Macaca mulatta: one gene and its partners. The protein of the gene in region 1 purifies or fractionates together with the protein of each later gene. This does not show direct contact. Links are inferred from orthologs where the notes say so. Each region holds a gene or a part of one and is shown in the gene's direction. Other genes may lie near its edges. The genes, in order: ARID4A, BRMS1, SAP30 and RBBP7.

Region 1 (4,136 bases):
CGGACGCTATGTCACATTTAAAAAATTACTCCATTCTATAAAACAACTAGCCAATTTATACTCCAATTCCACTATTTAAAAATATGTTTCGTTTAACAGAATACAAAATGTTAACAGAACAAGACCAACGTCTATCTTATCGGGGACGTCCTTTTAAGATGTTTTCAGTCCCTGCACAACCAATCTTTCCTTTCAAAAAGCAGCATAAGCCTCGCGCAGAGTGACACAGACGCTTGTCTAAGGTCACAGAAGCACCGTCTGTGCTGGCAAGTAAATTCCTCAGCATCCAAAAAGCCAGCGCTTTCTCCAGTTTCCTCATAGCTTTTTCGCGTGAGGAGCACGCGGAAACCTCTACCCATGCAGAATGTTTCCAAGAATCACTTCTGACCTGTCTTAACTAAGGAGACTCCCATAGTTTGTGCCAATCAGGTGGAGAATATGGCAAGTATCCAAAATGCACTTCCAAAGACAGGAAAGACTGCTCAGACAGAGGCAGAATTCAGAAAATCTCTCACATTCTCGAAAGCCCGAAAAAGCACCGCCAAGAAAGACTTTTGCCTCTCCTCCACCTCTTTCTCTCGGCGGGAGAGGAAGCCTCGCCCCCATTCATCCCGCCCCTTCTCCCCACCCCGCCGCAAGGAGAACTTTTACCATGGCTTCCTGCGGCCCCTTCACTTCCGGTGCCGGTGCCGCTAGGGCTGCGCCATCCCCCCCAGTCAATCGGACAACCATAGCCTCCAACTGACCTTTCTGACAGCTCTGAGACTCCTCCGGCCAAGACTAGGTGCTGTCCTGGAGGAAACGGTGGAGGACGGACGCACAAAAACCAATCTACCTGATGAAAACTCCGTTCCCTTCTTGCCAGAAACATAAAATGCGATGGAGCTACGGCGACCGCTGCCGAGACAAAATGGCGCCGAGAACCTGGTTTAGCGCAGGCGCCTTGGAAAGACCCTGCCCCGCCCCCGTGCAAGCCCCTGGCTGCAATTCTGGGTTCCGTTTCCATGGGACACTCCGCCGCCAATCCTCGTGCCGAACTGCTCTTCCTGACCCCTCAATTCACCAATCAGTGCCCAGTCAAGCACATCCGGAGTCGTCTCTACCAATCATTTCTCAAGACTTGCTTACTCAATAACCAACTCTCCAATAACGTTGGTCTTCGGAAAAAGCCAATCATAAGTGGAAGATGTCCTACCTGCTGTTTTTCGCACCAATCCATGAAGTTTCAGAGCTACATCCAATGAGGACGGCAGGTAGCGAGGTCCTATCCGAAGCTCTTCGGCGTCATGAACAGCCAATAGGAGTTCGTGTAGAAGCGAGTCTGCTCAACAGCTTGTTATTCGGTGGATTGTGGCAGTAAATCGGGGCGAGTGGGGAACCGGGCGCAGGAACTGCAGCCGCGGTTGGGAGTGGTGCTGCCCGGACGGGGGCCCACGGAGGTCAGAGGGGAGGAGGACTCTGGAGCTGACAGTGCGCACTTCACCCGCAGTTGGTAGGCGGGGAGAGGGGAATCGGGGGATACTGAATGGATGAAGCGGCAGTGGCAGCAGCTGCTGCTGCCCGGGGTCCCGGTGCAGTTGGAAGCTTCGGAGGTGGGGAGAGGGATGCTAGGCAAGTGGCGCGGCGAGCGCAAGAGAAGGGGCCAGCCATGGAGCAGCGGCAGCAACTGCAGGAACCGCCGCCGCAGCTGCAGCCGCCTCGTCCGCTTCCCCGGGTTCCCGGGAAAATGGCTGTGGGGCTGGCCGCGCCGCTAAGTTTGCTTCCGCGCCGTGAGGAGCGGGCTGCTTGGGGGAGCCGTTCCCCAACTCCGCGGCGCGTCCACCTCTGCGGAGTCCGTGGCAGGACTCGAGGGGCTGCGAGCTGATACGTCTCTGGGCTGTACAAAAAGTTGAGGCGGGCGCTGGGAGGAGGCAGCGGCTGCTGCGGTGCGGCTCCCCTCCCCTCCCACACCCTGTCCGGGCCACCTCCCCTCCTCCTCCCCTCAGTCCCCCGCCCCCTCCCCCGCGCGGGTCTCCCGGGGCTCTGGCGGCTCCCGGCTGAAGGCCGCGGCCCCTGCCCCTTTGGGTGAAGGAGCGCTTCTCCTTCCTGATATGGTGCAGAGCAAAGGAAGGAGAGCAATGGCGCCGTGACACTCCGCTGCCGCCACCGCGGGCCCGGGGCGGGCCGAGGGGGCCGAGCAGCGGAGGCGGGGCGCGGGCCGAAGTCGGGGTATCCAGGGGACAGCGGTGCGGAGGCTCGGCGGTCGCCTCCGCGGGGGACCTGGGGAAGCCCGAACGGCGCCCTGCCCTTTTCCGGAGCTATCTGTCCTGGGGCTCCGAGTTCAGCATTCCGGGTCAAAGTGGCCAGCGAGGCGGGGGCGCGGTGGGCCTCTGGCAAGCTCCGGGGCGGAACGGGCTGCCCTTTGGCGCGCGTGGGGTTCTCGTTGCCCCCTCCGCTCCTGCATCCTGGCTGCCCTCAGAAGGGGTCTTGTTCCTTGGCTGGTGAGGATTCTGCCCCTCCCCGCTGGCGTTTGTTTACTTTCTTTCCCTTGGTCGCTCCCCGCAGTTGACTGATTCTGTCTGTGCCTCTTTCCCCCTCCCCGTAGTTCTAGCGACTGCGACGATAGCTCGCTGAGCTGGAACCCCACAGATCACCAACAAAAATGAAGGTAAGTGGAGTCAACGCTGCCCCGATCCTCGCGCCTTGGACACTGCCAGTCGTAAGGCTAGTGCCGTGGAATGTCATTTGTTTTGCTCCTCAAAATTGATGTTCCTACTGATCAGCAGTTTCGGCATAGGAGGATGTGTTGAATGGGTGAGAAATGATCTGTGTGTCTAAATGCGGAGTTTGGGCCCTCTCTGTGGCAGTACTTTGGAAAGGCTGGTGCAGCCTTTCAATTGTTGTCCATTCGGATAGTATTTTTAAACACTTCCTGTGTTGGCAGCAACCTTTGCAGAAGTAAAGCTTTTGTCCTGCTTTGGTTCTTTGGGGGATTTTTCGAAAATTTTTTTCTTCCTCAGTGCCAATGCGATTTTGTAAAAGAAAGAGTACGTGGATTAAGTAATTAAGTAAAGAAGGTGTCATTTCTTCTGTGTGTAAAGTGAACTTATGTGGCTAAAATATTTGAAGTTGAACTATAATAATAGTTTCAGTTAAATCTTTCCAGTAAATATTTTAAAACATATACTTATTCTAAAAAGATACATATTCTACTGAGGATGACTGCAAATATCAATATGTGGATGGTTAAAGGGAAAGGATCTCATATAGCATTCTTGAATGCTGTGGCCATTGAATGTTTCAGGTCAGATTTTTATTTGCCAAAAGCATTCCTATTCAATTTGTATTTTTTGTAAACGTTCTTAAAAGGTAGCCAATTCCTGTCTTATTTACTGTTTCAGTATATTAAGCTCTGAAATATAGCATTTTCCCAAACTTTCTCATGGTTTTCTATTTTCTCCAAGTAAATGACATATTTAACATTCTTTAATATTACTTGGGAAAACTTATTAGAAAACAAAAAATCATTTTCTACTTAAAAACGTTATCTCCAAAGTGTACACTGTTAACTTTGCACTTAACAATGTTAAGTTGAACTTGTATGGATACACTTTAACTTCTGAAAAAAAAAAAGGTAAAATGACAGATTGAGATAGCAATCATCCTGTTACTGTAAAGATTAAAATGAATGGTAGAGTGAAATTTCTTGCATCATTCTATGTATCATTCTGGTCATGTCCATTTGCTGAAAGTAGATGTTTCTTAGTAACGCTTGTTTTTTTATACTAGGAAGATCAGTGTGGTAAACTAGGTACGTCTACAGATCTTGAACCATCGGTTCATATCTGCATTCATCAGCTGAATTCAGACTTAAAACCTTTCAAATGCAGGTTTTAGCAAATGAATTTTCCAAATTGATACTCTCCTTATGAAAAGATGTTACCTTTATGTACCTTTGTCAATAAACAATTATATATTGTTAGTGTTAATGTTAGTAGCAATATTTATTTTAATTTGCAAAATTTCAGGAAGCTCTAAATGAATAACTTAGTTTTATGATATGTGTAATATGAAATATTTTTTCTGATTTTTTTATTTTTCTGCTTATATAAATAGAATTTTTGAAAAATTTTGTATCTGGAAAAAAAAACATTATA
Region 2 (4,119 bases), on another chromosome or scaffold:
GATTCAGGATACTTCCAGAGGGGTGAGAGCGCTGGACTGTGGCTTTAGAGAAGTCAGTCTCAGCCCTGTCAATGTCATCAAACTTTGCTGACCTGTCTTTCCTCCTACAGGCCTGCGAGCTGCATGTGGCGGGGTTTGATTTTGAGGTCCTGAACGAAGGTTTCTTGGTTCATAAGGGCTTCAAAGAAGCGTTGAAGTTCCATCCCCAAAAGGAGGCCGAAAATCAGCACAATAAGATCCTTTATCGCCAGTTCAAACAGGAGTTGAAGGCCAAGTACCCCAACTCTCCCCGACGCTGCTGAGCCCTTCCCTACCCTAGTCTGAGAAGTCAGCCTCTGGGCTCCTCAGGCCACCGTTTAGGCCTGACTGGGGTAAAAAATGTCGCTCCACTTTACAGAGGTAGCTGTGGTGTTGAAACACTGGACTTGAATATGGGGTGCTGGGATCGAGTCCTAGCTTTACCACTAACTAGCTGTGTGGCCTTGAGTAAATCCCGTTACCTCTCTGAGCCTCGGTTACCCTGTCTGTAAAAAGGGAGGTGAGAATACCTACCTCACGGAACTGTCGGGAGGCTCAGATGAGATGTTGTATGTGAAAACATTCTGTAAGCTTCGTACAAATGTGAAGTATTAATATTATCGCAGTATTATTATTGTTATTATTATTGTTATTATTAACAATCTTGGGTGGGTAGTAGGAGAGCAAAAAGTATGAATGGGATGGAGCTAAGAAGTCTGAGTACTTAATGAAATGGACTTTTTGGAAAGAAATCAGATGAAGGCATAAACTTTAGTTCTTAGCTCTTGAACAGAAGCCTAAAATTCTTGGTTCTCTCAGGCCTTCGCCCTCAAGGGCTCTAGAGGAGGGAAGACTCTGCAGGCTCCATGGGTGACAGCCTGAGATCTGTCCCTTCAACAGGCTGGGCTGGGTATGTGCCTACCGATGACAATGTGTAAATAAATGCGTGTTCACACCCACAGCTGGCTCCGTTACTCTCCTGAGCTGGGGGTGGGGTTCGGGGCCGGCTTCTCCCCTTGCACGCCATGGGGAGGTGGCAGCGGACGAAGGGCGCCGTCTGCAAAGCACTGAAACAGCAGGCCCTTTTCTGCAGGCCAAAGGCCTGCGCGAATGTCGGCCAGTTACTATGGAGACCGGCCCGCGGTATCCCAGCATGCCTCGGGACCAAACTGTCCAATTGTGAGCACCCCCGACGGTCGCCTCCTGATGACGCACACGGAAGCACCGATAGGCTCTGCCTCCCGGAGAAAAGGGAGCCGCGCAGCGCCTGCGGGAGACCGGCGCTGCTGCCGGTACCGGCAACCACGGGCACCTCTCAGGGAATATCGGTCTTGAGGCCAGAGGCCCCAGTCCCCGCGGTGCGTATCGCCATGCATGGCTTTTGGTTCGGCCTCTCCCGTTAGTCGAGCAGGGCCGGCACAATCTCCTCCTCCCAGGCCGAAGCAGAGATTTAACTGGCCTGATGCGTGCTGGGCTGCGGGCTAGCCAGCGATGTTCCGGCCCGCTCCCGCACATCTAGAAGCGAGCGGGAGGCCCCCTGGGCACCGCGGAGAAGCTGGGTTGACCTCTGCGAGAATGAGGAGGGCCTGCCTTCCCTAGGGGCGTGCCCCGGAGGAGCTGCCATTCTGAAAAGCTAAATTGCCTGTGTACAGCGCTTTACAATGTGCTTTTCCATCCCTTATACCACCGCGCTTTACAATGTCCTTTTCCATCCCTTACCACCTGCGAGCTCCTCAACACTCAGAGCAGGAATGGTTATCCGCTTTTTGCACCCGGGGTAAGATGGGAAGATTGTGACTTAACTCACTTATAATCAGAACCAGCTGGAGGAGAGAAAGGTTTCTGGAAGAGATAGATTTAAGCTGCGTCTTACAAAGTGAATATACTAACAGTGAAGAGGCATTGCAAGTGTTGGGAACTGAGGCTTGATAACGGGAAAGATGAAGCTGGTTTAGAGAACCGAGCTTTTCAAGTCAGGTGCAGATCATTAGTGAAATTGTTGAGGAATATGACTAAACGCTCACCTAGGCCAGGCTTATTATACACAACTTGAACTGGTGTCAAGGAAAGTTTGCTACCATCACAGGGACCTGGGACTACCGAAAAGTAAAAGCTAATGTCTGCCTCACAAAATTTTTTTGTTGTTGTTAAATTTGTATTTGCAAATCCTCCAGTCATCAAGTGAACCAGTACTGTGCTAGGTAAATAAGGTACGTGTGCAGCCCCTGCCCTAGTGAGGCTCATAGACTGATTGGGGGAACAGACATGAGAATAGGCAAATAGATACAAAGCTTCCTGGAGGGAGTGGCGTCTGCAGTGTACTAAAGGACTACAAGCAGTGTCCAGAGAAGTTGAAAGAACACAATAAAATAGAAGCCTGCAGGGGGCTGAGAGATTATCTGCTGAGAGGACTGTTTTCATCCTCTTAGGTGATCTCTTGGCAGTACTTGGCACTATCAGTACAATTACTACTTGGCAGTACTTGGCTTTCTTCTGAAATTCTCTTTCTCCACGACTTCGGGTTTTGCCTCCTCCTTTGTAGGGGTCTCCTCATCTGCCCCTTTGGTAACCCTGGGAGTTCCATTATGGGCGTCTTCTGATTGCACACATTCTCCCTTGCTAGTCGCACCGTCTCCTGTGGCATGAAGAACTTGCTGTATGCTGACGACCAAATCTCTGCAGCTCAGATTTCTCACTGAGACTTAGACCCATGTGCCCCCAGCTGCTTTCCTTCTCTTATTTCTGGGTCTTTGCTACTAACTCTACCTGGAATATTCCCTCAGTAAGTGCAGCTCACCCAGCTGGTCCATCTTTGGAAGCCTCCCTGCTGCATCGGGCTCCAGGTCCTGGTTATATACTCCTCCCTCATGCCCCTGGTCTTAACTCTCCTCATATCATGGTTATAGTGTGCTCCTTTGCCCCTCTCTCCCAGGAACTTGTAAACTCGGTGAGGTCAAAGACAGTCACACTTGGGGCCCCTGCATACCATAGCGTCTGACAGTACCCAGTATATGTTAGATGTTCAATACATGTTAGATGAGTCAGTAAAAGAAGGAATGCTTACCAGTGTTCAATGTTGCCGAGCAGACAATTAAAATAAGCACTGAAAAATATTGGCATTAGCCACAAGGAAGTCACTGGTTAATGCTACGGGATCAGTTTCAGCTGAGATTGATGACATTGAACGACTGGGAGGTCAAAGTAGGAACAGCCAGTGTTCATGAGACCTTGAAAAGCGTAACTGTGAAGTGGCAAACGGAGCAGTCAGGTGGAATGGGTGAAGTTTTGTGTTTCTGTGTTTTGTTAATGCTAGAAAATACCCAGGCACATCTAAAGTTTCATGGGAAGGAGGTTGCTAAGAGGGAGAAGCTGAAGACACAGAAAAGAGAGGGGAACACTGACGACCCGCGGTCCAAGAGGAGGCAGAAGGAGATGGGATTTGACCCAGAGCACAGTGAAAGACAAGGAGATTGTAGCGTTATCTGGAAGAGAAGCCGAGGGCATTATAGGCAGAAGGAACAGCTGAGGCAGAGGGCAGAAGGTGGAAGTGCAGGCACTAGCCATTATATGGTGGGATGAAGTTGCTGGACCGGTAGGTCAAGTCCAGTCTGGTAAAGACCTTGAAAGCCCCAGTTAGGAATTTAAGTCCAGTTCGGGTGTGGTGGCGGGTGCCTGTAGTCCCAGCTACTCGGGAGGCTGAGGCAAGAGAATTGCTTCAACCCGGGAGGCAGAGGTTGCAATGAGCCGAGATCGTGCCACTGCACTCCAGCCTGTCAACAGAGCGAGACTCCATCTCAAAAAGAAATTTAGGTCCAGTCCATAGGCAGTGGAGAGTGCCCCCTGGGCCTTTCCTTTATGTGGATCACAGCCTTGGCCAGTATTCCCAGGATTAGGATCACCAGTGACATCCAAGAGCAGGAGCATTTCCACAGCTCCCAGGCTTCTGTGAGAGGTGCAGACGGCCATTTGCACCCTTGTCACCCAGTATGTGCTCAAGGTGTGGCCAGGCCAGTCACTTCCCTGGCTTTCCCCATCTGGGATCAGGTTGGGTTCAGCTTCCTGCTGCCTCTTTCCCCCTCTGAGCTGTGGGCAGCCATAAGT
Region 3 (4,161 bases), on another chromosome or scaffold:
CAATTATTTATCACTAAATTTACTTACTAAAAGAACTTGCAAAACAAAACCCTACTGCCTAAAATATATTTTAAAACGTATTTGTGTTTAAGCAGCGTGTATCTTCTGATAAATAATGACGCGTGGTAACTAGTAAAGGCGCAGCTTTCGTGTTAGCCACGCCCATCCCTCGCCCCGCCCTCCACGAGCACCTCCCCCCGCATGCACGCACGGACATACACGCGTACGCGGGCACACACACGTACACACGCGCGCGCCCGCGAACACATACATATAAGCAAGAGCGCACAAACGCGGGCAGCATGCAGGGGCGCACGCGCCTGCCAGGTCTCAGGAAATGCGCTTTCTACTACCCGCGCCGGTAGAGCTAATGCAGGGAAGTTTCTGGGAACAGTCGAGCAGCGTTTGTATTGGTGAGGTTCCAAGTCTCCTTTAAAATGATACGACTCCGCCCTTCTCCAAAACCGTTTGAGGAGAAATGGAAAAGGTTGGGCGTGGAGGTGAAAAGGAGCCCTGTTGTCAGCTGGTCCGTACTCCACCTCAGGAGGCGGCCAACTCCGTGCGTCCAAGAATAAACACATTTCCCTTGTAGGAACATGCAAGGGTTTAGAAACGCCCCCCTGCCCCCCGCGAGGCGTTTGTGAGGGGGACCTGTCACAGTTGAAAAGTCAGGATGGGCGTTTTCCTCCCAGGAGGTGCCCTACTAATTTGCTGCCTCGATAGTTGGTCAAGCCGGGATGTTAGCTGCGGAACCTCCAGGACCGAAGAGCGCCAATTCTCCTGAGTTCTCCTTGGTTTGGGTTTCCCACAAAAGCGCGGTCACACCAAAAGCTGTGTTTCCACAAATGCGAAACGGCCTCGAAACTTTTTTTTCCGCACACGCTCACTTCCCACACCACTCCCATCCCTTTATGTTTCGCCTCAGGAATCGAGTAACTTCTCTGAAACCCAATTCTACGAAATCCCAGCAGCTAAACACAGCCCGACTTCCCTAGAGACAGAGAGAGAGAAAACACTGTAAACCCCAATCACACGCTCCTGTTTTCCCGGTACTGAAAAAAAAAAAAAAAGTGGGTCCGTGGCCGCGCTATGCATGCTAGGATTAGTAGTTCCTCCATCTCGCAGGGCGAAGGGTCAGGGCGGAGCTCAGGTTGACTCCGTAGCAGACAACTACAATTCCCATGGGGCCGCGCGTTTGAAAGAAAGGGGCGGGACGGGAGGGGGCGCGTCGCGCTTGCGCAGTCCCGGGGGCCGGAGGGAGGCGGAGGCGTAGCGGTCCAACTGCTGAAGTCCCCATGTGACAGTGAGCGGGGTCCCGGCTCCAGAAGACGCTAGAGTCTGCGTCCGGGCCCTCAGCACTGTCCACTGTTCCGGGGCCAGCAGAGACCAGCAGGCCCGGGACGGTTGGTGTTTGACCGTGCCGCTAACTTGGTGTACAGAGTGAATTGCCGCTGCCGGAGCGGAGAGAGGCGGAGCGGCCAGGAGAGAGGGGATTTGTGTCAGCGCCGGCGCTCGGGAGCTCGGAGACATGAACGGCTTCACGCCTGACGAGATGAGCCGCGGCGGAGATGCGGCCGCTGCAGTGGCCGCCGTAGTCGCTGCCGCGGCCGCCGCCGCCTCCGCGGGGAACGGGACTGGCGCGGGCGCCGGGGCTGAGGTGCCGGGCGCGGGGACGGTCTCAGTGGCTGGGCCCCCGGGGGCGGCCGGGCCGGGCCCAGGGCAACTGTGCTGCCTGCGGGAGGATGGTGAGCGCTGCGGCCGGGCGGCAGGCAACGCCAGCTTCAGCAAGAGGATCCAGAAGAGCATCTCCCAGAAGAAGGTGAAGATCGAGCTGGATAAGAGCGTAAGTAACCGCGGGATCGCCCTGCCCTCCTGTCCCCTGGTGGGGCCCCAGGAGTCGGGCAAAGGCACGGATTGTCGGCGGGGTCTCCCAGACCTGGCTGCAGTGCGGTCTCGTGGAGTCTGTGTTTGGAAGCAAATAACAAAGTCGCTGCAACTCCGACCGCCACCCCAACACACACACAACACGCACGCTGTCGTTCCCCTTTTCTTTCCCACCCTGCCCCCAGCCTCCCGCTGCCTGCGACTCTCCCGCGCACTGTCTTCCCTCTTCCTTCTCCTCTGCGACCAGGACACGAAACAAAGGGGACCGCCGGACCGAGGGCCCAGAGTAGTTTTCTTGCAGCCCGGCAGCTCTTCTGGAATGGAGGCGCCTTTGTTTCGCTGCCCAAGCTGGTGTTTGGCCCCAGGCGGTGCTAACTCCCCTGGTCTAGGGGAAAGTGGAGGACCTTCGCGATCAAGGAAGATCCTGTTCCTTTCTGTGCTCCGTCTCCTCCGGAGCGGAGTGAGAGGGAAGCCGAGCTCGCCCGCCGCCTGGCAGTGAGCCGGGGCTGTAAACGGCGTTTGCGCTGTCAGCTCCGAGGGCAGCTGCTCCGATGGTGGGGAGCACGTAGCCTCTGCGGTTTTGCCATCCCCTTGGCAGCCATCAGGATTTCTTTTTTCCTCCTCCTGCGCGTCTTTTCGTTTGACCATCTAACAGCCGTTGCTACTTTTGGGAGATCTGGCTAGCGGTAAATGAATAACATGGTATCAAGAACCTACCACAAGTCCTGCGTATTTTTATCTTGCGCTTGGCTTCGAAGTAAATGTAAAAGCCTGTTAGCTCAGTCCGTATTTGTTTCAAATGTTAGTCTACAGTTCGCAGGAGTGTGTGTAATTAAAGTTTTTGAAAAGTTTATTTGTGATACTTTTTTGCCCGTTTAAACAGTTTTCAGTGTTATCCGTGAGAAACTTTTCAGGTGAACTTGCATAATTTCAGATTGCTTTGGGAAAATGTGTTATAAATAAATACATTGATTTAATTTAATATTCAGAAAAGTTGATAACTGAAATTTAAATATAGTTATGAAGTCGATAGCTCATTTGTAAAAACGGATGGTTTTGTATCCGGAATATAATTTGGGCATTCAGTTGGAAAGACTGGAAAGCATACATTATGTTACAAAAATATGCTCTTCTTTAAGTAGAGAAAGTACTGTCAAGTAGCAAAAGTGGGCAGCATCATCTTTCCCCTTAACAGTTAAAAATTCAACATGAACTAATTCATGTCATCCTCACTGCTATTTATTTATTTATTTATTTATGTGAGACAAAGTCTCACTCTGTTGCCCAGGCTGGAGTGCAGTGGCGCGATCTCAGCTCACTGCAACCTCCACCCACCAGGTTCAAGTGATTCTCCTGCGGTAGCCTCCTGAGTAGCTAGGATTACAGACTAGTGCCACCACGCCCGCCCAATTTTTTGTATTTTTAGTAGAGACGGGATTTCACCATTTTGGCCAGGCTTGTGTGGAACTCCTGAGCTCAAGAGGTGCTGGGATTACAGGCGTGAGCCACCGCGCCCGGCCCCTCACTGCAATTTGATGCCAAAACCCAGAGGGTTGGAATTTCTCATTCTCCTCTCCCTCCCTCCCTTCACCCCTTCCCCAAATGGAACCAACCCCTCCTTCCCCATCCACCATCCTTTTAACAGTATTCCAGACTTCTTATGTTTTAACAGGGTTTAGGATTTAAATGTATAAATATTTCATTGTGTTAACAATGGCCATCTTGACTGTCTTTATTTTTACTATCTGTGGCATATGTGTTTTACTAATACATAGACACATTTTACTGTAATCATTAGCAGTGTGTGAAACTTTTCTGTTTCAGGCAAGGCATCTTTACATATGTGATTATCATAAAAACTTAATTCAGAGTGTTCGAAACAGAAGAAAGAGAAAAGGGAGTGATGATGATGGAGGTGATTCACCTGTTCAAGATATTGATACCCCAGAGGTAAATGGAAGTTTTTTATGCTTAATATAAATCCTAAGTAGTGCATTCTGAAACCTTTATAAAAAGATATGAACAATCTTTTAAGTGTTTAAAACATTTGAGAAATCTGAAAATGAAAGCAAAATTAAATATAGCCAGTTGTCATGCATTTACACAGTTTGAATTGTTACATTTTAAATTGACAATTTTTGCGGCTCTGTTGTCACATAACTTACTCTTTTTTGACCTCAGTTTATATTATTAATCCCCAAAAGATTAAACTGTTTAATAATTTATAGGTTTGATTATGTAAATTTTTTAAATAATTTTTTTGATTTTGGAAGTAAA
Region 4 (4,300 bases), on another chromosome or scaffold:
AAATATTTACTATCTCGGTCCTGTTAGAAAAAGTCTTGCCAACCAGCGTCCTAGAATATGAGGGCTGTATTGCTTAAACACCCTTCCAACTCTTTTCCCTCTCCAGCCACCCCCTCAGCCTTAGGCACTAACAAGATTCTTTGACCCGGCATAGGGGGAGGGCGTTATAATAATGAACTGTATTGTATCGGAAACAAGACAGTAAATATCTACAGAAGGGAATGTGTGACTGGTTCTGCCACTGACTAACGTCTGGGTTTGCGTCCCGGTCAGAAAAGTGGGCATGACAGCGGCATCTGCAAGATAGCATCTGAGCATGAAGGCACTTGGAAAGGTATCAAGGCAGCAAATGTTCCGGGGGTGCTTTTGCAAGAGGAGCCTCTCTCGGAGCTGGACGTACACTTCGGTTCCCTTTGCACGCAGGCACCTTGGTCGCCTCCCCCAACTCCGTCCCCTCTGCTCCTGGCCCTCATTTTCTTTTATTCCCCTTTTGGCCTTGCAGCCAGTTTTCTCCTCCCCCGATACACTCCCCAGGGGCTATGAAGTTCCCGAGCAGAGCATGGCTCAGGTAAGCAGGCCCAGGGCAGTTCAGCCCTGCTCTCTCCAGCTCCGCCAGCTTGGGGTGGGGTCGCCCTGGGACCCCTGCAGGTGACAAAAATGACTCAGCAGGGGCCGGGGCTGGGATGCGAAAGGAATGCCAGTGCTGGAACAAAATCCCCTGAAGCACGAAGAGGCCTCAAACCATCATCTTAAGGACCCAAACATCGAACAAATTAAAATGTAACAATGTAAATCGGTTTCGGCCCGCCGGCGGCCTGTGCCGCTACAGGCTGCACATTTAGCCTAACAAGGCGGCCCGGCGGCTTTTGCAGGCAAAAAACGCCCGCGGCCTCTCCAGAAGCTCTCTTCCCTCTGAGACCAGCCCCACCTCGGCCCGACCGGGCCCCAGGAAAGGCCAGTCGGCTGGAGGAGAACATTTCAGGGGTGCAGAGAATTGCATGTCCGTGATTATCAGGGAGACTTTGAAGGCACAGTAATCTCTCGAGAACAGGAACCATTTTCCCCTCTTGCTCTGAGATTTTGCTTGGCTAAGCGGCAGCAGCCTCCCTGCCCCCCTCTCACCCCCACCACCGCTGCCGCTACCAGCAACCACGCCCCGCGGGCCCCAAGGCTAGCCGCCCCGGGGCTCGCGGCCCCCGCTCAGCCGGCCAGCCGCGCCTCCATCCACCCCACCCTCGCGCGCCCCCATCCGCCCCGCCCCCTCGGGCCCTCATCCGCCCCGCCCCCGCGGCCCCCATCCGCCCCCGCGGCCGGCCCTGGGAGCACCGGGCGAGCCCTCGCGCCTGCGCATCGCCAACTTCCTGCCGCGGCACGCTCCGCCCACCCCCAGAAGCCCGCCTCCGAACGCCGCGTGAAACCCGCCCGCCGCGCGTCATTGGTCGCGGCGCTGGAGCCGTTGGCTCCCAGACCCGCCTCTCCGCCTCCTCTCACTTTTCCCAGGGCGGATGCGCCTGCGCTTAGCTGCCTGGGCGGGCTGGGAGGCGCGGGTTGAAAAGTCTCGTTCCAAGTTTGGAGAGAGAGAGAAGAGCGCCTCAGACCTCGGTACCCGCGAGCGGGGAGGAGGCAGGAAACAAGGACGCGGCGTCTGGGGAGCACCCAGGCAGCAAGACTGGGCCCGGGCTTTCGACCGCGGGGAGTGTGTGACGCGTTTGGGAAAGGCAGGAGCGCCAGTGGTCGGGCTGCTCTTGGCTAACGAGGGGAGTCCGAGGCGGCGGCGAGGGGCGAACGACCCGACGCAAGATGGCGAGTAAAGAGAGTAAGAGGCCCTGCGGGGCGGCGCGCGCCGGGGCCGCGGGGGGCGGCGGGCGCGCGAGGCCGCGGCACGCGCCGGCGAAAGGCGCGAATTGGCGTGCGGAGCAGGGGGCGGGGCCGGGCGCGAGGCTGGGCGCGCGCCTCGAGGGGCCTGCGCGGGACGGGACCGCCGTGCCGAGGGCTCCGAGCACTTCCGGAGCCGGGCGCGGGGCCGAGGGCTGGGCCCCTCTCTTCTCTTCCCTCCTCCAGAGGCTGCGCTCCCTCCGGCGCCCTCGGCCCCGGGGCGGAGGCGGCCGCCGCCGCCGGGAAGCGAACGCCGCGGCTCCTTCTACGCGCGCGCGTTGACCGCCTCGGGGTCGCGGCCCTTGTCCGGGGGTTGCTGGAGCCCTCAGGCCTATGGCTGCCGAGGCGGGTGTCGTGGGAGCTGGGGCCTCCCCTGATGGGGATTGGAGGGACCAGGCCTGTGGGCTTCTGGTACACGTGCAGTTATCTTCCCGAGTGGGTCGCGCAGCCCCTGTACGTACAGGTCGTCATCTTAGAACAGGTGCGAACAGCTGTAACAGGGTAAACAATTTCCATGTCCGTGTAATTGACTACCCAACATGGTATACGCAGAGGGTATTGATCTCAACGGAAAAAAAGAGGCTTCGTGGTTGGTAGTATTTTCTTCACCTTCTGGAAGAGCAGTTAGTTGTCCGTGTCCAAATTAGAGGTAAAAGGAAAGAGTACATGAGGTGTGGCCATCTTGAGGTGACCTCCAATTTCTGACTTCGATCCATCTCAGCCACTTAATTGTGTGGGCTTTCTCCAAATTTCAGTGTTTGAAGATACTGTGGAGGAGCGTGTCATCAATGAAGAATATAAAATCTGGAAGAAGAATACACCGTTTCTGTATGACCTGGTTATGACCCATGCTCTTCAGTGGCCCAGTCTTACCGTTCAGTGGCTTCCTGAAGTGACTAAGTAAGGGTTTCTGGCAACTTTTTTTTTTTTTTTTTTGCTTAAATTTAACTGTCGTTCTGAATTTCCTAGTTTTGGCGTTTTATACCTAGAACATAAGTATGTAATCAGCCCTTGCATGGGGTGGCAGGTGGTTTTTATTTTCAAAACTTAACGTGATTTATGGGATGATTTCTGGCGTATAGTGTGGTGGTAAAAGGGGAGAAAGAATCCGTTGTGAGATTAATGGTATTTGGAGGAAACACTGAATGTATTTGACAGTTCCTGGGCTCGAATGTAGAGCAGCATCTCTCTGGGCCCAAACTAATGCGTTTCTTTAAAACTTTATTGAAAAAGAGAATATTTACAGAAAAGTTCACACATCATAAGTGTTGTATGGCTTCATAAATTTTTGCAAAGTGAACACACGTAACAGTCACCCAAGATAAATACATTTTAATTGGTAAAGGCAAAAAGACCTTGTCAACAATTGACTAAAGAAAAGATGTTATTGGCTTATGGAATACACTTTGAGATTGCCGTTAGTCTTCATAAGAGTATTCTTTTCTGTTAGATCTACAGTTTCTCTGGTAATAATTGCTGGCATTTATTGAGCACTCAACAGGGCCTGGCACAGCTGAAGAATCTACGTCTTGTTGTAATCCTCACAGTAGTACTATGCTGTAGGTAATTTTCATTATCCTTGTTTTACTGATAGGGGAACTGGGAGTGAGCGTTTAAGTGCCATCCCAAGATCACACAGCTGGTCCCTGCGTTAGTCTGCCTTTCTCATTCACTTGAACCTTTTCTAGTAGGAACTTGACCATGTACTTTTAAAGTGTATTAAATATGGGGCCAGGCACAGTGGCTTATACTCCTGTAATCCTAGCGCTTTGGAAGGTTAGCTTGAGCTCAGGAGTTCAAGGCTGCAGTGAGCCATGATTGCGCCACTGCATTCCAGCTTAGCCAACAGAGAGAGACCCTGTCTTCCAAAGAAACAACAAAAAAGCATCTTAAATTTGAGTGTTGTGGGCATATAATTTAAAGAGGATTAAATGAAACTCTAACCTAAAAAGAGGATTTTGCAACAAGTTATAAAAATAATAAGCTAATTTTGGCTGGGCGCGGTGGCTCACGCCTGTAATCCTAGCACTTTGGGAGGCCGAGGCAGGTGGATTGCCTGAGCTCAGGAGTTCGAAACCAGCCCAGGCAACACGGTGAAACCCTGTCTCTACTAAAATACAAAAAAAAAAAAAAATTAGCCGGGCGTGGCAGCGTGTGCCTGTAGTCTCAGCTACAGGGAGGCTGAGGCAGAAGAATTGCTTGAACCTGGGAGGCGGAGGTTGCAGTGAGCCAAGACCGCACTACTGCACTCCGGCCTGAGCGAGAGCAAGACTCTATCTCTTAAAAATAAAAATAATAATTACAATAATAATCTAATTGTATATAAAACTGCTCTTACAATGGCTAGGTTCTCCATATGCAAACATTGATTTCCATACAGATAGGAATTTCCACTGGGCTTCCCAAAAATCTAAATGTAAATGTA

What was found.
Region 2: the proteins of ARID4A (region 1) and BRMS1 purify together in Homo sapiens (affinity purification with western blotting; 3 studies listed by BioGRID and IntAct, with this or other methods). This does not show direct contact. The link is inferred for Macaca mulatta from reciprocal best matches to the Homo sapiens genes ARID4A and BRMS1.
Region 3: the proteins of ARID4A (region 1) and SAP30 purify together in Homo sapiens (affinity purification with mass spectrometry; 5 studies listed by BioGRID and IntAct, with this or other methods). This does not show direct contact. The link is inferred for Macaca mulatta from reciprocal best matches to the Homo sapiens genes ARID4A and SAP30.
Region 4: the proteins of ARID4A (region 1) and RBBP7 purify together in Homo sapiens (affinity purification with mass spectrometry; 4 studies listed by BioGRID and IntAct, counting the BioPlex papers as one, with this or other methods). This does not show direct contact. The link is inferred for Macaca mulatta from reciprocal best matches to the Homo sapiens genes ARID4A and RBBP7.

Annotation. Positions count from the first base shown.
Region 1 is NC_133412.1:131,422,859-131,426,994, forward strand, and holds the start of ARID4A (AT-rich interactive domain-containing protein 4A), read left to right. Parts: upstream 1-1,317; 5' UTR 1,318-1,492; intron 1,493-1,983; exon of another isoform or gene 1,984-2,480; intron 2,481-2,584; 5' UTR 2,585-2,641; coding exon 2,642-2,647; intron 2,648-4,136.
Region 2 is NC_133419.1:8,078,833-8,082,951, forward strand, and holds the start of BRMS1 (breast cancer metastasis-suppressor 1), read left to right. Parts: upstream 1-1,287; 5' UTR 1,288-1,376; intron 1,377-4,119. Other genes in the region: B4GAT1 (beta-1,4-glucuronyltransferase 1), read left to right, coding at 111-302. UniProt on the Homo sapiens protein: Transcriptional repressor. Down-regulates transcription activation by NF-kappa-B by promoting the deacetylation of RELA at 'Lys-310'. Promotes HDAC1 binding to promoter regions.
Region 3 is NC_133410.1:181,801,533-181,805,693, forward strand, and holds the start of SAP30 (histone deacetylase complex subunit SAP30), read left to right. Parts: upstream 1-1,307; 5' UTR 1,308-1,528; coding exon 1,529-1,843; intron 1,844-3,708; coding exon 3,709-3,834; intron 3,835-4,161. UniProt on the Homo sapiens protein: Involved in the functional recruitment of the Sin3-histone deacetylase complex (HDAC) to a specific subset of N-CoR corepressor complexes. Capable of transcription repression by N-CoR.
Region 4 is NC_133426.1:16,538,308-16,542,607, reverse strand, and holds the start of RBBP7 (histone-binding protein RBBP7), read left to right. Parts: upstream 1-1,455; 5' UTR 1,456-1,800; coding exon 1,801-1,816; intron 1,817-1,869; exon of another isoform or gene 1,870-2,208; coding exon of another isoform or gene 2,209-2,356; intron 2,357-2,630; coding exon 2,631-2,775; intron 2,776-4,300. UniProt on the Homo sapiens protein: Core histone-binding subunit that may target chromatin remodeling factors, histone acetyltransferases and histone deacetylases to their histone substrates in a manner that is regulated by nucleosomal DNA.